4 linked regions of the Drosophila melanogaster genome follow. The gene in region 4 interacts genetically with the main gene of each other region. Each region holds a gene or a part of one and is shown on either strand. Other genes may lie near its edges. The genes, in order: IP3K2, Pka-R1, sl and Itpr.

What was found.
Region 1: of Itpr (region 4) and IP3K2, changing one suppresses a phenotype caused by changing the other (phenotypic suppression), as found in Drosophila melanogaster (one study listed by BioGRID).
Region 2: of Itpr (region 4) and Pka-R1, changing one enhances a phenotype caused by changing the other (phenotypic enhancement), as found in Drosophila melanogaster (one study listed by BioGRID).
Region 3: of Itpr (region 4) and sl, changing one enhances a phenotype caused by changing the other (phenotypic enhancement), as found in Drosophila melanogaster (one study listed by BioGRID).

The regions. Positions count from the first base shown.
Region 1 is NC_004354.4:13,303,506-13,308,894, reverse strand, and holds the start of IP3K2 (inositol 1,4,5-triphosphate kinase 2), read right to left. Parts: upstream 3,381-5,389; 5' UTR 3,016-3,380; coding exon 1,948-3,015; exon of another isoform or gene 891-1,947; intron 1-890.
Region 2 is NT_037436.4:20,817,123-20,822,274, reverse strand, and holds the start of Pka-R1 (protein kinase, cAMP-dependent, regulatory subunit type 1), read right to left. Parts: upstream 3,311-5,152; 5' UTR 3,241-3,310; coding exon 2,806-3,240; intron 1,945-2,805; exon of another isoform or gene 1,552-1,944; coding exon of another isoform or gene 1,549-1,551; intron 1-1,548. Other genes in the region: Mst77F (Male-specific transcript 77F), read left to right, coding at 4,397-4,678, 4,741-5,106.
Region 3 is NC_004354.4:16,348,239-16,356,489, reverse strand, and holds sl (small wing), read right to left. Parts: upstream 6,176-8,251; 5' UTR 5,905-6,175; coding exon 4,600-5,904; intron 4,242-4,599; coding exon 3,761-4,241; intron 3,696-3,760; coding exon 2,842-3,695; intron 2,775-2,841; coding exon 1,704-2,774; 3' UTR 8-1,703; downstream 1-7.
Region 4 is NT_033777.3:5,515,338-5,520,529, forward strand, and holds the start of Itpr (inositol 1,4,5,-trisphosphate receptor), read left to right. Parts: upstream 1-1,779; 5' UTR 1,780-2,551; intron 2,552-5,192. Other genes in the region: Nmdar1 (NMDA receptor 1), read right to left, coding at 681-803, 875-1,051. UniProt on the Drosophila melanogaster protein: Receptor for inositol 1,4,5-trisphosphate, a second messenger that mediates the release of intracellular calcium. Together with MCU, has a role in oxidative stress-induced ER-mitochondria calcium transfer.

The sequences.
Region 1 (5,389 bases), on a different chromosome or scaffold from region 4:
CGATAAAACTGAAATTACAATGTACCATTAACTGGGTCAAAAATTCCAGACATTTTTTTTTATAGACTAAAAACTTGACTTAATATTGAGATAGTTTGAAAAGTATTTCAAGAAAAATACAAGCAAGTCGTCATTTAGTGTGCAATATTATCATTATGCTTGCAGAAATGTCTCCATCTCTGTGAGATACTTTCTTATCAACAGTGTTTTTTGTGCTTATAAACACAATCCCCGGGACTTATAGAGTAATCCCCCAACGACACGAGGGCTCGTGTGTCATATAGACATATATGCGAATCCTAATGGGAACGATGACGTATGCGTGATATCACCCAAAATCGCTTATCACTCATCCCACCGCAAAGAAAAAAAAATAATAATAAAAAAAAAAATAAAAGAAAAAAACAACAACCCGTAAGACAGAGCTTTATACAATTGTGTTAGACTGGCGGATGGGATCATCATAGATATAACCACACTATACAGTAGATAGTATATCGTATTAAGCATATATAAGCCGCATGCCCGTGGCTTAAAAAAAAGTAGAAGAACAACAGGCCATTTCTGGGATGCCTCCAATTATTGCTTTTGTCGGCGGTGAGGGTATATATATACATATATACCATATATTGCTATATGAATGCCAGGCAGATAAACCCGCTTGATAAGCGCGTAACATTATTAACCAAACACACATTGGCACACATACATATACGATCAGACAACATACATATCCATATCTCTTGCATATACACATATGTACATGTATGTATGTATGAGATATCCAGGTGAATTGCTTTATTATCGTTATCATGACTCCGAAAATTCGGTTTCTAATACTTTTATTTGCTTTACAAACTTTTCGCCGTCTGCTGACAACAGCAACAGCAACAAAAGGAATAATAAACCACAAAAAAAAAAAGATGCCATTATATAAACGTAAATATGTGCTGGCTTATATATGTACATAATATTTATCTATAATACAGTATACAGTTAACTAAGATAAGCTCTTTTCCTCGCTATCGCTGCCGTTGTTTTGTTTTGCAGTTCTAGATACGAAAAAAAAAACGAATTAAACCAACGGATCCGAGGTTTTCGTATTTTCGTAGATATATACTTGTTTTTTTTTTTTATCAAGGAACCCCCTATTTTTCAACATCACCACCATCATATCGTTCTCATTCACTCAAAAAAAAAAAAAAAAAAAAAAAAAAAACGATAATTATTATAGCGAACGAAAAGCGAAGAATACAAAAAGACTTCTCCGAGTAACAGAACCTCATTTTAGTGATAAGATAAAATTCTAATTAATTAATAGCCTTTTAAGCAAACGCATACACTGAAAGAAAAGACCTGCATATGCAAGGTGGAAAAACCATTAGCTGATAAGGCGCGGGATTACCGTTCTTGAGCCTATATATCATCTCATCATCTTTAAAACAAGATGAAACTTAGTGGTAATTCGCATTATCAAGTCAGTAGTTCAAGGGATTTTCTTTGTTTTTTTTTTTCTTTTTATATTTAATAGATATGCGTATTGTAAAAGTCTTATTATTATAGTCTTTTTCTATAGTTATAATGGTCTTGCAGTTGATAAACTAAACGGTATAATACTGCTCTAGAGCAAAATAGATTGTTTTTTTTTTTTTTTAATTATGCCACATTTCATCTACGCGTAGCACCCGTTTCTCCCTGTGTATATGCACCAACTTGCTTATCTCTTTCGCTGCCATTCAGACCTGCCCTCATTCACTGCTCTTTTATGCTTTCGATAACAACAACACAAACAATCATTAATGATATTTAAAAACGAAAAAAAAAAAATAGTGTTTAATATTAAATTTACTAGGCTGCTCCACTTTGTTACTTGTCCGTTTTGCCAACCCGAATTCTTTAGTCTAGTTTGAGATTTCCCTGGTTTGTGACGTCATCGCGGGCGCCTACCTTCTTGGATCGATCCCGCTGACGATCACCAAGCTGCGTGGCGGCCATTAGTTCGCTGATCTGCCGCTCCCTCTCACGTTCGCGATCCCCCCGCTCGTAATCCTCCTGAAGCATCTCCTCCGCATCGCGATCATCCTCATCGCGATCCTGCTCATCGCGATCCTCGTCGTCATCCTCCTCCTCCTCCTCCTCGTCGCTGAGACTGCTGCTCTGGGTGCTGCTCTTCCTGGCGAGCGCAACTCGAACTCCATTCACGATGCACTCGCCACCATCGAGGGCAGAAATGGTGGATCCACAATAGTAGAGATTGCTGCAACTGCTTGCTGCACTGACATCCGATTGGCCATCGTCCTTGCCACATCCCGGCGACATTCCCGCCGCTCCCGATCCACCGTGTCCATGTGCGCCATGTCCACCGCTATGACTGTGATGTCCCGCCTCCAGGGAACAACGCCGCTGACCACGCGCCCGCTGCAGACGAAAGTATTCCATTTCCTCCATGCTAATGCCGCAGGCGGTTATGTCATCCGAATAGTCGCTAACCACGACGGATGGTGTGCGCACATAGCGCACGCCCAGCGGCAGTCCACTGACGCCCAGTTCGCTGTACGAGCTCTGGGTGGATTCACGTCGCGATCCCGGTGCGGCTACCACTCGCTCCTCGAGCAGCACCTTGGTGGGCACACCCACGCTCGGATTGCCACCGCCGGTGGGCGATGTCAGTGGCGAATCTGGCAGGGCTGTGGGTTCGGCCAGTGGCAGTAGGGCCGGTCGCAGGGGTAAATCCGTTACGGTCAGTGTCATCCGACGTTGTGGCGGCAACGGCACATCCATGCCGCCATCGTCCACGTCCAGACCCAGGGCGGAATCACTACTGGCACAGCGTGTGACCTTCATTTTGCGCTGCCTCGGCGATAGGCTGTTATCCTCGTTGTCGCTGCTATAGGGACTCAGTCCGCCGCCGGTGACATTACAGCCCTCATCCGAATTGGATGCAGTGGCTCCGGGCAGTGTCTTGGGCTCGCCCTCGTTGCTCAGCTGCTGCTGCTGCTGCTGCTGGACAATCATGGCCTGGAACTGATCGATTAGCTGTTGCACCGGCTTGCCTCGTTCCGTCTTGCAGCTGGGATAAGCACTGCGGTAGTTGGTGGTGCGAGTGATTCTAGTGGTGCTGCTTGTCTCGCTATCGCGGGCTAATCCACCCACTTGATTGCCGAAAAATTGCGCTTTCAACTGCGCCTTGCGTAGGGCCAACTCGGAGATGGATGCCACCTCACATGGATAACCAATGTCACTTCGCTGATTGGATGTGGCCGCAATTGGGTTTGCTCTAGCTCTGACTGTAGCTGCTACTTTGGTTCTGGCTCTGGCTCGGGCACTAGCTCCAATCTGCTCCGCTGTCCGCTGATAACTGAACGCCGTTGCCTCTGCCGTCGTCCATTTATTTTCAATTTTAACCGTTCTCCGCGTTGTCGTCGTTGTTGTTTTTCCAATTGTTGTTGCTTTTGCTGTCGTTTTCGTTTTCGCCCTCGCTGCCGACGCTTTCGACGTCGACGTCGACGTCGTTATCTTTGGCATGACATCGAATTGGAAAGCGGGGGCGTCAGACGTTCGCGAAACCGTTCCCGTACCGCCGTCGCACGCACTCATCTCACATGGATGGATTGGCTGGATCGCGGGTAGAGGTGGGGTGGGTAAAGGTATGTATACACCAGGTTAGCAAAGAGTTGGGACTAATGAAGTAAGTGTGAGATTCGTTAGAACAGCAAAAATGAAATAGGAATATGCAAGAAAGTGTAATGGGATTGGTGATAAGAAAGATGTTGTAAGCAGAAGAAGTTGAAAAAAGTGCAGAAAATGGAAAATGGAAATTCGTACTATTTTCTGTATACTAATTTACTAAGGCTTATATAAAGAATTCAATGGTAAGAGATGGTAAAAAAATAGCTAGAATGGTAAATGTTAGAAGCGAGTGAAAAGTGAAAGGCTGGCGGATAGAACGATAGTAGAAAGCATAAAAACAGTGAAGATTTCCGTTAAGAATGAGTGTGTGAAGATAGTTAAAAGGGAGGATGGGAATAATAAGAAAAAGGATAGTAGAAAGAGAAACTAGTGAAGAGTAGTGGATGATGGTTGGGTAGTGATTGGGAGTGACTGATAAGGAAAGACTCAAAAGTGAAATGGTGCTTATGGTGTTGGAAAACGATCTGTGTGTTCCGTCGAAACGCGCTACTAACGCTGGCGTCGAGGCAAAATCGAGTGGAACTATAGGTGAAAATGCCACTGGAATTCCCGGCAAACATTCTACGTCCGCACTTTCCGAATGGCACCTGTGCGCTGCCGTCGCCGAACTGAAATCGCTTTCTGCGGCTCTGCAGCTCTGCCCGTTTTTTCCAGCGGGCCGGCGGGAGGGGCGAAAAGAATCGAGAAGAGCAGCGTGGGGGGCGGGGGGAGGGGAGTCTCGTGGGGCGAGAATGGGCGAGGGGAGGAGGCTCGAAGAATTGTATAGAAGAATCGTTGAGCCGCGGAGTGGAGTGGCGCATCAACGGAGAGCAGCTGTTGTGGGGGCGGGCGGCCGTTCTGCCGTTCTTATTTACTTGTATTGTTGATAGTTTTCTTCGACAAATTTGCTGTGCCTTACTTAATTTTCGGTTGCTTTTGCCACTGTTCGGTTCTCTCGCAATTGAGATGGATTTTTTGGTGCTACTGCAACTGCCACTGCGTCGGGGTAATTGTAATTGTGATCTTGAAACGTTGACGCAATGTGCAATGATCCCGCACGTACGCACGCACACAACGGTAGCTGCTCCAATTGCCGCGCGTAATTGTAAATTGCATTTGAGCACAGAGCACTGAGCGGGCACAGATACGTCGCACACACACACACACGCGCGAACACACAGAGAGGCGCACGCACACCAGCACACACAGTGACAGACTGACAGGCGATGCGAGCCCAATGCAATAAAGCACTCTGCGAGCACCACTACAAGCGCACAGTCACGCACAATGGGACGAATCGGTGATTTATCGCCAAAAAAAAAAAATGAATTAAAAAAAACCCAGCTGACTAAGAACTTTTCCCGGAAAGCAACTAAAGCACTAACTAGTTTTTCAAGATCAGATTTATGAAGCTTACCGAAACAAAAGGTATAATTAAATTTTGCAGTACAAGCACTTATTAAAAACTAAATTGTATGGTTTAAAACTGGCAGCAGTCTTTAGTAAACAATTACAAGCTGTAAAATTCCCGTTGAAATATGAACAAAATTAAATAGCTCTGCCCATGTTCGTATCGTGTTCATGTTTCTGCTTATAAATAAGTTCCCATCTTGCTTTTTATAGTTAACTATCAGACCAAATGACGCAAATAACATTTTATCGCTTTACACCAACTTTTTGCAAAACACAAAACCAAACGAAATCGACCCCAGATTAAATT
Region 2 (5,152 bases), on a different chromosome or scaffold from region 4:
TGGGCAAACGAAATAATTTATTTTTAAAGGGTGGGCAAACGTTAAAAATGAATTTTAAAGGATGGGCAAACGAAATTATTTAGTTTTAAAAGGAGGGCAATCGAAATTATTTAGTTTTAAGAGTGGGCAAACTAAAAAAACAAATTTTAAAGGGTGGGCAAACGAAATAATTTATTTTTAAAGGGTGGGCAAACGTTAAAAATGAATTTTAAAGGATGGGCAAACGAAATTATTTAGTTTTAAAAGGTGGGCAATCGAAATTATTTAGTTTTAAGAGTGGGCAAACGAAAAAAACAAATTTTAAAGGGTGGGCAAACGAAATAATTTATTTTTAAAGGGTGGGCAAACGTTAAAAATGAATTTTAAAGGATGGGCAAACGAAATTATTTAGTTTTAAAGAGCGCAGGGCAATCGAAATTATTTATTTTTAAATGGTGGGCAAACGTTTTTTATTGGAAATTTTTATTTTAAAGAGGTGGGCTAACGAAATTGGGTGTATTTTAAATGTGGGCAATCGAAAAAAAATTTTTGTTAAAGGTTTTTTAAAGGGTGGGCAAACGATAAAAACTAATAATAATGGTTGGGCAAACCTTTTTTGTTGATAATATTTGGTTTTAAGAGATGGGCAAACGATTTACTCTCTGATTAGACCGAGGTAAACTTAAAAGCCTTATATTTTCTAAAGTATAAATTTTTTCAAAATTCTAAAGGGTGGGCAAACGTGGGCAAACGATGTTATTGCGATTTAAAAAAAAAAATTTTGAAAAAAGCGAAATTTTTGATTTTCGAAAATTTTCGAACTTTTTCGAAAATTCATATCTCAAAAACTGGACGTGGGCAAAAAAAACTAATTGGTGGGCAAACATGGGCAAAAAATGGGCAAACGATTCCAGCTTTCAAATTTCAAAAATTCGATTTTTCCGACCCCAGCTTCTTTGAGCTCATAAATTGCTTTCATCGGACCCACTTAAAAATATCACAGAAATCGTTTTAATGCGATGCGAGTGCATAAAAAGGAAATAAAAGGTAGTAAAATAACAATTTAATCAAGTAAACAGAGCATAATTCGAGGCCATATTTCGGGGAAATTTTTCATTGGAATTGTATGTTAAATGCTTTGCGTTCTGGAAGGAAACAAACAGATTGGATAGAATACGAGTGTTGATTTCATTTAAAATTGTTGATTTTCATTAAAAAAAAATGTTGTCAATTTGTTTTTCCTCAAGGAGACTATTTATATAGCTTGGAAGAAAAATGTATCCAGTTATACCTTGATGGCAATTCGATAATCGGAAAGTAATATTACTATTAACAACTTTGAGTTCTAATAAATATCTAAAAATGAGAATTGTATACCTTTCAATGGGATAATATAGAAATATGAAGGAACGGAAGAAGAATGAATACTTGAATGTTAAAGATTAAGGATTCTTAAGCGTTAATGCAATGGGACCCTTTCTCTTCCTCACTATAAAAACGCTATTGAAACCAATTCTTTCCGAAATATTTACCAAGTTAACCGTATTTAACACTTCGAATTTTACCCACCATTTCGCTGGTCGAGTTCCTGTCACTTCCGCTTTGGCACTTTTCCAACCTCGTTTGGCCAACACAATTGATTGTTGTTTGTCTGTACTTTATGGCGGACACTGGGGACAAAGTGTCCGGCGTAGTTTTTGGCACGATTCCGCTGTTAATCAGAAGCCGGCGTAAACAGCGCCGGACGGAGCGATGACAGCCGTAAAAGCGGCATTAACACGACCGTTAAACCGGACAATTCGATGATCGGAGCAGCGGAATTCGCGTGGCCATCAATCAGGCAAGAAAGTCGAAAAGTAACGACCGCAAAAGGTGAATGGTAACTAGTAAATTGAGCAGTTAAGTTGGCGAAAAAACTAAAATTGGGAACAACGATGGGCAACTGACGGTGGCCAAAAAGTGACTGAGACAAACGAAAGGACGAAAGCAAACTCTAGCAGCCAGACACAAACACAATCTCGACGACGACAGGATGACCTTCACCAACACGCCCAGCGAAGGCAACCTTTCTATATATACACAAATATATACATACAAATACGACTGGCCAAAAAGTAAAGTTTTTCGCACACCCGCCCACCACCTCACACACATACACTCGCACTTGTGACGCAAGTCCTGGCAAAGGGAAAAGCTTTTACGGGAGAAAAGGGCCAGAAGTGCTAAAGGGAAAGCGAAGGGAGCGCTTTGATTTCGTTAGAATTCCCTTCGAGTTTCAAGTGCAAACTCGACATTTTGTCGCAAAAAGCAGCTCGTGGGGCATTATGAAATGCACTTTCTTTAAATTAGTATATAGTTTAGGTTACTATATTCTACTGTATCCCAAAAATTAACCCCTTTCCATTTACCTTTTTGCAAAAAATAAATTTATAATGTTTAAATAAAATGTGAACATTTTCTTCCTGTTCGTTCTTTTTCTTCAGATACGAAAGATATTTTGAAAGAATTAAAAGGCCTTAACGTAAAACATAGCAAACTTTTTCATATTTTATTAAATTTTTATATTCTAAGTAGGGTATTAGGTGCTCGCGGAATAAGGTAAACATTTTTTTGCATGTTTTTATTTGTGTTAGAACTAACGACATCGTGATTTGTAGTCACAAATCGAATCAACAAGACACCAATTTCAAACGATTCAAAGCTTTCTAGTATGCGCACACTCCCACACTTTAAATCTTTTTTCCGCCAAAAGCTTTTCAGCACAAATTCCTAGTGATTTCCTACTGTTTTCCGGAAATTGGAAACTTTTCCGACTTTCCAACTTACTTCGCGTTCCCGCTGGCGCTCAAGCTCAAGTTCCTGTTCACGTTCGCGGGCCAGAGTGGAGAGATGAATCTGCAGGCTGCGATCGCTGACGGCATCCTCCTCGGGAATTGTGGTGCAGGAGGTGCGAACATGCCGCATGCGATGCACTGCATCCAAGCTCAGCCGATGTTCGTGATCATCGCGGAGCAGAGCATCGAACATGGCCACCCCGCCATCGATGCTACTTTCGCGCAGGATGCGTCCGCCGCGTCCACTGCAATGGGGACTCTGCTGCTGATTCTGCTGATGCTGATGATGATGGTGGGTGGTGGCCACCACGCCCTCCGAAAACGAACGGATGCGCATGGCGCCGTTGGCATCGGTGGTCAAAGCCACCGAGCGGAAGCGATCGATGACCGCATCCTGGATGCTGTTCACACTCAACTGGTTGCCCATGGCGCGCGGAGGCAAACAAATAAAAAGCAAACGAACGGAGTGAACTAGGTGGAAGCAGGATGCTTCTGCACGGCGTCAGGATGCTAATCCAACTGACAGCGGGTCCGGCATTCAACAGGCAACTTGCCCCAGAGAGTCCGGCGCACACACACAGGCGTACTCAAAATCAAAGTTGGGAGAAAAAGGGGTAAGGAAAGTCGCTTGGCAAGTGAGAGGGGGAACAGGACGATGTGGAAAGGACCTCCACAGGTGCGCTGCTCTATTTACATTGCAGCATTGCAAGCTTTTGCTGCAGCCTGTCTCACAAAATAAACTTTAAAGCTTCACAATGAACAGAGGGAATACAGTTCTCCGAAGCAGGAAGCCGAAAATAAAGCATCCGTGCTGGGAAATCCACCTATGGATGGGTTTTTTTTTTAACAATCCGCTCGAAAATAGACCGCAAGTTGTATTGATTTTCGTTTAAGCGGCAGCATTAACCAGCAAAATGCCGCTTGTTGCTTACCAAGTGGTTGAAACCCCGGAAAGGAACGTAGTCGCACAGGATAATTTAAACACCTTCCCTCACCAACGACATTTCTGGTATTTCTTACATATTTTGTTCAGATTATAATATAACATTTAGTATTGCTTTTGTAAAATATTTGTTCATTTCATTTCATTGAAAACAAGGAAGTACGCTATTCTATTTCGTGAATATCAGATACGCGTTACTCAGCTAGTCGGATTGCAAACAGAATATTAAAACCTTTTTCAAGACACACGGACGGACGAATATGGCCAGCTCGACTGATACTGATCAAGAAACATTAAACATTTTCTCCTACAATATCTTGAACGAATATAGTATACAAAAATAACCATGGAAATATGGCGCCGATCTGCGAAATGTACTTTGAAAACAGCCAACTTGGTTTGAAAAAAGGAACTTTTTCTTGATCATAGTAGAATTGAGCCTTCATTCAAATCCAATTTCCAGGTCTCCACGCTGAAGCCAGCATACAAACAGTTAGTACACTACCTTTGAACGAGGAACAACTAAAATATTTCGATAAAATTGAGTACAGTTTTTTATACATATATAATTTTTTTTTGTATAATTCTGAGTAACAAATTTGTTTGTGAAAATTTCTGTCGAGCAAGAATTGGTTGCAAAATGAGTAATCTGAAACAAAAGGATAGCAAGCCGGAGGTGGCAGTAACAAAATCAGTGAAAACCTATAAAAAATCAATTGAATATGTTAATTCCGACGCCTCCGACATTGAAGAAGATATCAATAGGGCAGAGGACGAATACGCCTCATCGTCTGGCTTTGTTAATTTTCTGAGGGACTTTAAGAAGCGCTACGGAGAATATTACTCGAATAACGAGATAAGACGGGCTGCTGAAACCCGATGGAACGAAATGTCATTCCGTCATCGATGCCAGTATTCTGCGGTAAGTTAGGTGTCGAATACAAACGAAATGCACATGTATGCAATCGTAATGCACTTCCGCAGGAACCATTGGACACTTTTCATGTAGAGCCCAACAGTGTGAGCAGTCTTCAGCGTTCTAGTGAGGGCGAGCACAGAATGCACTCTGAAATAAGTGGCTGCGCAGACACTTTCTTCGGTGCCGGTGGCTCCAATAGCTGCACTCCAAGAAAGGAGAACAAGTGTTCCAAGCCCAGGGTGCGGAAGAGTTGCCCCAAACCACGGGCGAAAACCTCGAAGCAACGTCGCAGTTGCGGCAAACCGAAGCCCAAGGGCGCCCGACCCCGGAAGGCATGTCCCCGCCCCAGGAAGAAGATGGAATGCGGCAAGGCGAAGGCAAAGCCAAGGTGTCTTAAGCCCAAGAGCTCCAAGCCCAAGTGCTCGATGTAATCGGAGGTTTCATCTTCCACACCCTTTCCTACACCACTTTTCGGCC
Region 3 (8,251 bases), on a different chromosome or scaffold from region 4:
TATATATAGACAGCTAACGCCGGATAAACATTTATTTGGCATTAAATAATTATGAATGTATACGTATGGTGTGTGTTTACTGAATTATAAGGCAATTACAAAAACAGTTGAAAATATCTATTAGACGTACAGATACAAATCACTTAAAAACGGAACGTACAAATGAAATACATTTTGGGTACATATACACATACATATATACTAAGCATGATTTGCTAATGCGCTCAAACGCGCAAAATGTCCAAATTAGAACTATTGTGCGAATGGAAACAGCAGAATGTTTGTTAAATAATTAAATGCGAGTGCAAGACAAATGATATCGATCGTTTCAGTGGGGCATTCGTATGGAATGCAAATAGTTTCAGATTAAAATCCTAAATGATTCGCATAGGGAGCACAATTTCCACTTCTTAAATCGACTAGTGCATTTTATGAATATCTAGATATATAAATTATATAATGCATTTAGTAATAATACGTCTATTGAACTTAGGCTTTAGATATTTAGATTTCGCAGTTTAGAGAAGAAGCTAAGTTAGAACTTTGATTTTATAAAAAATAGATATCTTTGAGCTATATTATTATTTTTCAAATATTTGTTATTTTAGCAACAGGTGTACTTCAATAGTTAACGTTCAAACATTTAAAATTTCGATCATTTCGAATTTTAAGGCACGTTCATTTAAATGTAATTGAATAATTACATTTTATTTTAATATTGTTTGCAAACTTTTAGTTTTTGTAACATTAGCTACAACAATCGTGGTTAAATAACATAGACACAATTATGTGGTATATCGTAATTGTTAAACAACTGGAAGACATATGTAATCAAAGTGGTTTAAATTTCCTTTGCCCTTTTTTTTTTATAAATTGTATTATTACTTTAAGCTTTAAAAGAGAAAATAAAAAAGGTAAATGCTAAATGATTGAAATGCTGTTTGAGTATTTGTGCTAAGAGAAAGGTCTAAAATAGTTTTCCAGATAACATATGAAAGTGGTCTATTTTCTTCAGTTAAAAGTCTTTAAGAAGATTGTAATATAATACTTATGAAAAGCTGATCCTGAAACTGAATATCAAATGCCCATTAAATTGATGCCAATTGAGCTGTTTATGAATTGTTTCTATTTCTAATTTTGGAATCAACTTAATGTACTTAACTTTTGATGGTAAAACTGGTAAAATGGAAATAGCTCAAGTTCCCTAAATCGAAATCAAATCAAATCTGGTTTGCTTATGCTTATAATGAGGTGACGAATAGTTAAAACATATTCGTATCATTCTATTCTCCTGAATCAATCTCACGCACAAATACAACATTTAGAGGACAACAGACTTGAATGCTTAGTGTTATGGAAAAGTGTACAAATTATACGGATTACATAAACTTGATTTCAGTTCCAGGAGTTCAGAATTCATTGTTACCATTTGAATACTCATTGTATAGTATGAACTAACCATAACTGCTGATGTGTATAGAAAGTAATCTAAATCTAAATCATACGTTTCAGATCCTAAGCTTTTTAGACAAATTACAAGTGAGAGAATCAGGTTCATAGTTCGATGAAATGTTCTTATGTACAAGTTGTTGATAAATTGCTTTTGCGAATTAAGTTCGCTTTCCTTTTGATCTAGCGCAATTGTTTTCGCAAACACTCGATTTGGAATCATTGATATTGATCCAGCTAACTCAGCAATCCTCTTACGGTGCGGTAACATTTGCTATCTTAATGTTGATCAGCAGGGACGATAATTCCAGCTCCTCGCTGAACTTATTTCGTAGGATGACGCTGCGATAGCCCTGGCGAATGCAGGTCAGCGGATAGCACGCCTGGGCGATGAAGTGCGTCTCGGCGAACATATCCTCGTCCTGCACTTCGAAGCGAAGGATCGCAAACTGTGGATTACGCACGTTAAACTCGCACGATTCATTCCACACCGGATTGAAACCATTTTCATTGACTTTGGTGCGATACTTAACGCCCGTATCAAAGCTAGCGCCAATCAATTCGACCACGATCTGCGGATTGTTCGATTTGCCGCCCCGGAATAGATGACGTGCGGCTATCAGACGTATGCTAACTTTAACTTCGCTTAGGCCATCGCACAGCGGATTGTTCGGATTGAAGCTGTCAGATTTCATGAACGATGGCTTTAAGATATAGCCACATTGTCCATTATTCCGAAACTTGGCCTGATTCAGCTGCATGGCCTTATCGCCTGTCTGATAGTTCAGTGCGATCATCTGGGATCCAACATTCCAGAATGGCATGGGATTAAAATTCGACGAGTCCAGGCGCTGACCCTTCGGATACACTCGGCTAATCTGATTGCGATGGTAGGAGAGAAACAGTTGTGTGTTCTGCTGGAAGAACTGCTTTTCGGCCTTCGTTTCGGGGAAACTCGACATTTCCTGAAATATCCACGAGTGCTCGCGGAACGGCACGCTGCGGAAGTAGATAATCAGATCGGACATCTCCTTGGCCACCCGGGCAGTGCGCTCCTTTTTCCGCCTCTCCGATGCCAGCTGACTGGCGATAAGGGCTGCCTCCTGGATTGCCTTTATCCACTCGTACGCCGTCTCCTGATTGTCGAAGCCAATCACAAACGGATTCTGCATCGTTGGCGTTTGTATCTGCAGCTTGAAAATAATCCCCGGATCGTTGGACTCAAAGAGCGAGGCAACAGCTCCGAAAATCTCAATGGAATCGGTGCGTCCATCCGTGCCCTCTTCGTTCAGCGAATTGTAGTCCTCGGTAGTTGAATCGATAACCTAGACATTGGAATTTTCAAGAGTTGAATATAGTTGAATTTCAAATAAATCTATATATGCATCTCACCTTAACGTAGTTTGCCGGCAGATGCTTCTTGATCATGCCACCATAATCTCCAATCCACCACATCGAGTTGTCCCTCTGGACATTCGTTATGATGGCATGCTTGGGAAAAGAGAGTTCGTCTGGCTTGTTCGCCTTATAGCTGTAGAGCGCCTTGCACGTGACATTCTCCTCCAGATTGGAGCCCATGTAGTTGGAGGCACCGTTGTCATCGTGACCGCCACTATGATCACCCTGTGCCGCCTCCGCTAGCGCCTGACGCAGCAGCTCCTGCGACACCGGATGGCTGAGCTTAACATTGCGATAGAGTGGATTTCGGGTATAATAGTTGATCAGCGAGACCAGAGACTCGAAGTTCATTGTATCGATGCCGTACAAGCGTCCCTCCTGCATAATGCGACAGTGCTTGATCTTTCGATTGATTGTGAACGAAATGACAAAAGCGTTAATGCTCTGCACCGATGGCCGCACTAGAAACGAACCAATTTCCAGCCGGTATAGACCCTGTTCGGCCTGCTCCTTGGTGGTGTTCGGATGGAACCACTCCTGATCCTCGTGCTTTTTCGGCTGCGGAACTGGCTCTTTCAGTATAATCGAAAACTCTGAGCTACGCAGCATATTCTTGCGATAATAAACGATCAGTGAGTACAGTGAATCGAATACAAAATTCTCCACTAGATAGTACTTGATCGATCCATTTTCATGCTTTAACTTGATGCGGCAATGATTCGGGCGATTACGTCGCCAGAACGAAAGGCTATAGTCTCCCACAAACGTGGCCGATTCCCGAACCAAAAATGTACCATCGCCAAAGTGTTTGTACTTCTTTAGTAGATCATCAGCCTCCTTTCTGCCACCTAAAATGCAAATTGTTAACGAAACAAATGGAATATACTGCATATATGTCAACCAATAAACGCACCTTCAAGTTTCCCATGGAACCAATTCTCGCCGAAGTGCAGCTCATCGTTGGCCGAGGTATCCTTTTGCTTTTGCTGCATATTGCTGTTTAGGGAGCACGACGAAGAAAGCCCAAAGTCATCATCCTCGGAGTTTCCGTTGCGTGACTCGTTGATCTCAGAGGAGTAGATTAGCTCCTGATGGGTCAGAACGAACTGATAAAGATTCCAGGACTTATCGACCGGATCCTTGAAGTAGAGCAGTCCCTCCTTGAACACCTTGCGCACATTCTCGCCATCGTTCTCCCCATGCGCTCCACCGCCCGCTCCGCCCAACGATGATCTATGGCCCAGTGAACCCGTGCTAGAAATCCCATTCGCGATGTCGTCAAACTGCGGCAACTTCTTGTGCTTCAGGATTATCTTGCGACGCAACTGGTATGGCGATGGCAAGTGCTGCTCGTTTCGATCACAAGGTTGCGTAAGCAGCATATCCCCGAAAACCTGTAATGGGTCATAAAAGGTATAAGTCAATGGATTTTTATGCGATTAATACTTAAAGCATCAAGAAATATCTAATTACCATCGTCTTGAAATCTAAGTAACTAAAAATATTGCTCTGTTACATTTATAATTAGATTCAAACGAATAAAAAGCGAATTCTTCATATTGTCATACATATTCCCAACTATCGAAATATACAAAATCCATTTCAATTATATATTAAGTTAGGCAATCTCACAGAAAGCCATAAAAGAACTCATTATTACAGCGAATGAATCAAAAAGCAAACATGCAGATCTCCTGTTTGCATGGAATATATAAATTGTTGTTATTAATAGATTCGATTAGGTCAACTTACCTCGATCAAGGCCTGCGCCATATTCCGCTGCTGTTCCAGGGAGCAATTCTGCTCTATGGACAATATTACCGGATACTCGGAACTGGTGAACGCATGATCCTTAATCGTCTTGATGACATCCATGAACTTGATCTTGGAGGTAATGGTGTGGCCGTGAAATATGTAGGGCAGATTGTCGGGCCCGTTCCAACAATCCAACTCGATGCAACGGCAGCCCATGCGAAGAGCGCGGGCGTAGGCCTCGCAGGAGGATTCACTGGAGAACTGATCGCCCGTCAGGTAGGTATTGTGCGACGATGCGATCCAGTAGGAGGACAACGGCAGGTTCATGTCCATGAACACTTGGTCGTACTTGCTGTTCCACAGGTCGTTTTGCTTGGAGAACAGAAAGTCGACGAACTCCGGGAAGGTGAGATACGGCTCCTGAACATCACGTTCCACGTCCTGAACAAAGTCCCGAATGAAGGAGGCAATGGCTGCGCTACTGATCTCACTGGCGCTCACATCGCGCTGTTCCGTCTCGAGGAACTGCTTCAGCTCCGCCGGTCGCACCACCTGTTGGTCCTCCGAATAGGGAAAGTTGGCCACTCCCGATCCGGACAAGACGCTGGCAAATCCGTTGGGCAGCAGCAACTTCTGATATAGCCGCGAGAAATCATCAAACTTGAGATCGTGCTTGCGCCGCACATCCTCGGTAAAGTGCTCCATGAACTTGCCGGTGGTCATCTTACAGCTAACTCCGGCCAAAAAGAGCTTAAAGTCCTTAATGGTCACCTGGGCTGGCGACTGTTCCGTGGCCTTGGCGGAATGCGTGTTAACATTCTCGATTTGATAGTACTCGCGACGCAGCCAGCGATCAATTTGCAAGGGATAGGGTGCTCCCAGTGTGTCCTTAACCATGTAACGCAATCCCCGCACCCAATTGTCGGCCTCGATCTCCGACAGAGCCACCACCGAGAAGCTCTTCAGCTTGAAGTGATTGCCGTGCAGTATGACAAAGCACTTGCTGGACTCGAAGCGCTGACAGTCGTCGGCAAACAGGCGAAACTCCTTCGAGTGCTTGCCCACCCGTATCTCGCGAATCTCCCGCAGCTGTATGGCGCCCTCGTAGTCGGTGCGTGGCGTTTGTGTGGCCACCGTTGCCCAGAGCAGCTGTCGTGTCTCTCGTATGAGCATCAGGTGGCGGCGATCCGGACGACGCTGTTTCCCATACAACTTGGTCACGATGGTGCCGCGCTCCAGCATACCAATGGTCTGCTCCATCTCGCCCAGCAGCGGGGCACTCATCGCACTAAAGCAGCTCATCCTGTCCGGTCCAAACGTGTCGATTCCTATCGAATCCAGTTCTCATCCGCTGGCTGCCACAGGTTGTTTCTCGCCTCGCCAACCGATCGCCAGACTAAGTGCAATGCATACAAACTATGGGTGCCAGCGCGTGGAACTATTCGCAGATCAACTGCTCCCTCTCTTCCAACTGGTCGATGCACAAATCACGGCCACTGGGACTCAATAAACCGAGATTAACAATGCAATATCCGAATTGTACCCAAAAAATACCACAGAAGCAGATAAGATAAGCCAGCTGTTGAGGAAAGTGCCAGTGTTGCCAGGCCGTAATGTGGGTACAGAAAATACTAAATCCACGCAAATGGGGCGTTCACACTGCGGTGTATTTCGAATTGTGAGGAAATAAAAAAATAAATTGACTATTTTATTTAAAAGTTTAGCTTAAAAATTGCTCCATTGTTTACATACTTGAATAACTGAAATATTAAAGTGTGACCAGTTTTATCTTTTGTTTTGAAGTGCGATTCAAAAATTCGTTATGTAAATAGTATTCCTAGTTTTGAATAAAGCAAAACTAAGCATACCAACCAAATCGAAGAAGCTTAAAGCTTTTATTATAACTCACCTTATGTAGATAGGAAAATAAATCCCGACCTGAAGAATTCCTAACTAACTAACTTGAAACCAAACGAACATAAGTTTTCTTGATATTGTATTTAAAATAGATTTACAAATTAATAAGCTTAGGCAATTGACTGATTGTTGTTGTCTGCTTTTCTACCTGTTCACACATGAACACGAATATATTTAAAGACTTACAATTTTGGGCTCCGTTCATATCTTATGTAAATGAATCGAGAGCGATAAATTATATTTAGGATTTTGTTATCTAAGGCGACATGGGTGCATTGCTCAAAAACATGTAATTTAAGTGCACACTACATGAGTCAGTCACTTGAGATCGTTCCCCGCCTCCTAAAATAGTCCCTTAGTGGGAGACCACAGATAAGGTCCTCGCCGCTCAAGATAGGCAGATGTGCCCGAGCGTGGGACCTCGATAAGGCGGGGACTATTTACTTAGGCCTCTGCGTAGGCCATTTACTTTAAGATGCGATTCTCATGTCACCTATTTAAACCGAAGATATTTCCAAATAAAATCAGTTTCTTACAAAAACTCAACGAGTAAAGTCTTCTTATTTGGGATTTTACATTTGGTCAATCGAGCCTTTAATCGACTCTGCAGTTTCCCCCTACCAAAGGTAAGGAACTCAGAGAAAGGCCAGCTCCTTTAAGCATCTTACAGCTAAAGGTAGCAAAAATAAGTGACTCTTGTTTCCCCCTACCAAAGGTAAGGAACAGAGTATAAATATAAAAAGCAAAAGATACAAAAGAATCTTTTATGTTTTAAAACAAGCACCTTATAGTCTATAGCTAAAGGTTGCTTTGTGTACCATTATAAATTGTGGTAAGGCGTGCTTGAGGCCATACATCAGCAATTGTGAAATTAAAAAGTGCATAACAAAAGTGCCTTATAAATGCTCTAATAGCATTAAATCAGCTCATAAATAGAGTGCAGTGTATATGCCATAAGAGCATAAATTAAATAAAAAGTGCCTGAAAACAGTGCCTTATAAATGCTCTAATAGCATTAAATCAGCTCATAAATAGAGTGCAGTGTATATGCCAAAAGAGCATAAATGCCGAAATAAATGGCTAAAAAACAAAAAATCTGACTGGACTACAAAAATAATAAAACGTGCAAAAAAAAAAAAAATCATCTTTAAACATCGACGGAGCCTTAAAGAAGAGAAGGAAGTCAAATTCAAAGGAGCCTCTACCAGCAGCAGAAGCAGCAACAACAGCAGCAGCAGAAGCAGCAACAGCAGTAGCAACAGCAGCAACAACAGCAGCAACAGCAGCAGCAACAACAACGACATCAGCTAAGTCAAAACAAGAATTTTCTGTTTATCCAAACACACATATATATATAAATACATATAAAATACATATACACGTACTATATATATTAAGAAATTACAAAAAATTTTCAAAATGATGTCAGAAAAGACTATTCAATTCCTTAAGAAGCAGTCCGAAATTATTTTGGAAATTAGAAAGTTGGAAGTAAAACCAACATTAACAGATGTAGAAATTCTAAAATTAAATGAGCTTCAAAAATGTTTCATTGCTAATCATAGCAATTTGTTAAAGATCGGCGTTGTCGATCATGAATATTTTAACGCGAAGCAGTATGATTTAATAATGATGGTGTTAGAAAAAATTAAAAATAAAAATGAAAAAATTAAGGGCGAGTCGGTAGAAAACACTTTCCCTAAATCAAACACTGTCCCTAAATCAAACCCTC
Region 4 (5,192 bases):
GAAAGGTGCATTGCACTTTAAGTGCCGAAGTGCTCTTCGTCATTAGGATTTTATGGACACCTTTTTGTGCATAACAGCGATAATTTATTGCACAAGAATCCAGTTTTGTGATTTCCTTCATTGTACATGAGTACAGTGCGATGAAATCACTTATTTCATTTGAATGGTTCTTTACATTTGTACCCAGTTTGTAATATTATATATTTTTATTTAGAATAAGTGACAAATAAGTACCGATAATACTTTAATGTTGCCAAATAGTAGACAATATTGTAAATCACTTAGCTCAACTAAAGACCATCAATAATTAAAAAGATAATTATGATTATAAATCTTAGCTTTCTAATAACCAAACCCCTACAAACTCCTTCTATATATCATTCTGCAAACCTGGTTCATAACAACAAAACGCATTTAAAGTAATATTGTATAATTATAGTTCAATTTGCACATTTAAGCACTCTTTCGCTCTAAGAGCTCCAGTTGGTTAGCTCATGGATATTGGATTCTGCTGGCGCATTACCGCTTGTCATCATCCCATTTCCGAATCATTTCCCCTTAAATTATGGAAATGAATCGAACCAGGTCGGGTTAAACACAGATACGAGTATGTGAGCAGCTTCAAGCGATGGAGGAATGGTCGGAAATGAGCAGGTAATTGCATTTGGCCACCGACTTACCCGATTCTCGATGAGCTTGTCGCACACATTGAAGACCGTCTTGATGGGATTCTTGTCCATGCGGATGGTTTTGTCGTAGTAGGTGACCTTCCGCGGCACATACTGCTGATCGAAGTTGAGGTGCTGCGGTTGGATGGGAAAGCGTGATTATCGCATTCGGATTAGTGGAGCATCCAGTTAGTCAATGGGCTTGCCTTTATTGTGGTGCTAAAGTGCTCCTCGCTGTCGGAATTGCTCAGTACGCCGCCAATGTTGTACGTCGAGGGATTATCCGAGGCAGTGTGCCTCTGGGCGGCATCAATTGGCGCCACCAGGAGAACAATGGCGAGCCCAAACAATGGCCGGCAAAAAACAAACTCAGCCATAGCCATGATGCGGAAGTCTATAGTTTCTGGGGGAGGATAAACGAGGTGTTTTGTGCAACGATTTCAATGGTTTCTCGAGCAAACATCCAGCATTTTCTGCAAGTCGAAAAGGGGAGATGCCGCATATTAATGGCATTTTCCATTTCCCATTGCAGCAATGAGAATGGTCAAAGACAAGATTTCTTAAAGTTTATTTTGCTCATTTTTGAAAAAGCAGAACTTTGAATTCGCGGTGTTTTCTTACATATGTGGTAATGCCAGATCGCGAAAAAATGAATACCAACGCAAGATCGTTAGAGTGACCATTTCATTGTGTTAATAGGCATTAGAAGCAAAATCTAAGTATGTGAGTCGATGAGTGGAAAGATTTTAATCCTCGGCCAATCTATCAACATTGATCTGGAATTTTCAAGCACAGATGACTAAAAAACTATGAATATTTGAATAAGATTCAAATCTCTACCCTGTGCTGCCATGCTAACTAGTATTTAGAGTATGTTAGTATTTTATCCATGCGCTCCCATCTAATTTATCATATGGTTGGTTCTGCGGTTTTCAAACACTTGCTTATGTCATTCCTTGTCAATAGTAAATGCAATTAACGTGTTACTGTCAATAATTCTATATATGTGTGCATAAAACAGTTAAGATGTCAATTACACCATTTATTAACGGCTAACTAGTATTTTTCGCGCGGTCACACTAATCGATCATATGGTTCGACGGTTTTTAAACACTTGTTGCTCGACCGCGCTTTCAGTCGGACGTGTTTTCGCTGGGGTTTTCCGCGTCGGTCCGCCTTATCTGCGCTGCGCTGGCACTTCGTTGGAGTGAGGGAGACGGAGGAGCTGAGCGGTACGGTACACGAAGTCGCGCATGACGCGGCGCTCTGGAAAATTGCATTTTCATACGCCTTGAGCGCGTAATTTATGCCCGAAATGCTGGCCAATTTCAATTTGTTGGCCTAAACGCGACGTGCGTGTGTGGGTGTGTGTGCGTGATTGGGAAAAGTGCGTAGAAATCGACAATCGTTTTGTTTGCCCGCGCTGCTGCTGCGCTGCGACTGCGCTGCTTGTGGGTGGTCAACGGGATCGTGGGGTCGGGAGAGCCGATTGTTGACGTTGTATCGCATGCTGCCTCTCTTTCCCGCAGCCGGAATTGTTTGTCGCGTGTTTTAACGGTTATTTCTTATTGACAAAACCTCCTCTGCCGACGTCGCTGCCCCGGCATTGTTATTGTTATTGTGTGTGGTTTCTGGGCCTTCTTCTTCCTCCTCACCGTATTCCCACTTATTGTTATTCTCTCTTTTCCGCGGCTAAGTGCGGCCCACTCAAGGTGAAAATATATTAAGTTCTTTCGAGTGCCCGCGAGTGTTTGCATTTGAATAAAATAAATATAAAGTCAAATTCGATTTACGATCGTCGTCTATCGACGGATGATTCAATACCAATCACAATACAGTAGCACATCTCTACAAGGGATATTTTACATTACATACATTCTACGGTGAGTATCCCACGACAACGACAACGACAACCTGTTGCCAATCGAGCCCAGTTACTGGTTTTTCTGGTTTCCCGAAGGGCTTGCCACCAATTTAAGTAGGTCATAAGGCAATAAGCCTATCACGACCGAACCGATAGGCTAATTACCGCGATAGCTATTATCTAGCAGTCACGCCCTCGCCTTTTGATCCCACTTGATTTTGATTTCGTTCTTGCCTCTTGCTTTCGCTCAATAATTGACAATAAGCCAAAGCGAAAGGGCCAGAAATGCGCTGAGATTCAATTACGTTGCAGTGGCCACTATTTGTTGCTTACACGAATAGAAAAGCTAAGGAAAAAACATATAAATCCCACTGATTGAAGACATTTGCTTATCGGGGGTATGGTTCTATGCCAGCTACTCAAACAAAATATAAATAAATCCTTAGGGAATCAACTCCGAAGTCAAGTGTTGATTTCAACTCAAGCCACTATGTATATGAACGTGATGCTTTCCAAAATTGTTTTGTGGTGAGAGGGATTGTTTGTTGTTATACAAAAATTCTTCAAATGGGAGTGTTTAAGAATTATAATGACGAAGTAACATAGTCATAATTAAAACTCGTATTTACTCGTAGAGTGAAAGGGTATACCGGATACATATATTATTGATCAGATCGAGATTTCGGGATCTATAAAATCTAGATGTGCAAGTTTAATTCACAACGTCCGCGCCCACTCTAACGCCCACAAACCGTTCAAAACAGTCACGCCCACAGTTTCGAGAAAAGTTTGGATTTTTTTAATCCTAATATTTCTTTGTCAGTTCCTAAAGTTATGCAAATCACTTTTGGAAATTTCTCACTTGACGTCCTCTGAACTGAATGCATCTGCGTTCGAGAAAATCAACTTAGCGCCGATATTTTCTCTCAGTGCACACATCTTGATTGCAGACAGCGGAAAAGAGAGAGAGAGCGAAAGGGAGAGAGAGAAAGAGAGATGCTGACTGGGCGACGCGTGCTTAATTAAGCGCCACATTGTTGTTGGTGTTGACTGGGCAGGTGGCGAGCTATAGAGTAAGAGGCAAGATGAGGGATACCAAAAAAGATGGGGGAGGGGGATGAAAAGTGGACGTGTTGAGCCTGCTGCACGCGATGATTTCCATTACCTGGGGTAAAAAAATGGCTTTTCATCGCCAAATTCCTCTCTGGCCAAGTTTTTTTGTTGCGATTGAAAGAGCGCACTTCACTACTTCTTGATTTGCATGTAATCATGATTGGGTTAATGGGCCTATGATCACACAATTACGATCAATTATATTCACATTATAATGTCGAACAAATTACTAAATTATACAATCAATGGGACCAATAGATAGTATGTGCAGTGAGTTTCATTTATTGAAGATAACCAGTCAATTGAGATGTCATTTGCGGGTACTTTGATCAACCGGCTAGAAAATGTACATATATATTCTAATTTTTAAACGCTAGTTCGGTATAGTATTAAAATTTTTTTGATTATTATGTTTTTGTGCAATTATATATGTATATTTAAAAAAAAAAGTTGGAACTTGACAACTATTTTCTCTTTAACCACGATTCAGATGTCATCAATTTTAATATAAAGAGTTAAAAAATTCACAATTTGTTTTTGTTATTCTCTCAGAATCCCTCAACTGTAGTTGATAATTCTCCAAAAGTTGTCGTATAATTGCATTTGACATACTGATAACGTTTGTGCATGATTTTTAATCAATAAATTTTACCAACCAGCCAAATTTGTTCAGTTTTGCCACTTGTCACCATTTAAACAAACTGACCACAAAGATATTACATTAAATAAATAAAACACATTGAAGATTCTCAGGTATGCTTATTTTTTTGACCACAATCGTGTGTTTGCTCCAATTTATGTGGGCTTGCCATGAGCATGTGCATAATTCGAAGCTGAATTGAGCAGCTGGTGGGGATTTTGTGGAAGGGGGGGCGGTAAAGTGGCCGGGGTTGGCGCCTGGGAGCGCCAGCAATTAACATAAACAGGCAAATTGTGTAAGCGACATTCTGGAGCTGCAAATAAAATATAAGCGCCCGCCCCCCGCCCATCCGATGTGCACAGCCCACTTGGCTGCAATTATTAAGGGTGTGTGTGTGTTTGTTCGGATGCGGAGGTCGGGTGTTATCAATGAAGCAGACTGGATGAGAAGCAAAGTGTTCTCATCAGCGCCAGTCTGGTGTGATTGTGTGAGTATCTGTGTGCTTCACGTTTTTTCTGCTCAGGTGGGCCGAGGTCTCTTGGCTTTTCAATTGCTTTGAGCCACCAGACAGGGCCCAGACTTTTAATGAATGGCCAAATTGTTGAAAGGCGCGCTCAGCACATGTGCCCTGCATTACTCATTACTCATGTTAAATGGTTCTTAAAGGATTCTCACTTCACTCTCACTTCGCCGTCCGTCTGATCTCATATTCTATTAATCCCCATAAATATTTGATCAACCCCCACAGTTTCAAAGCTCCCAGCATCCAGATGGACGAACAGCGCACCGAATTTCCCCAAGGAAAGCTGTTACTCTCACTCACTCTGTTTTGTTAAGGGCAGCAAAATTCCCAAATGAAACGTATCGAACAAACATTCAATATATACTATCAACTATACTATGTACA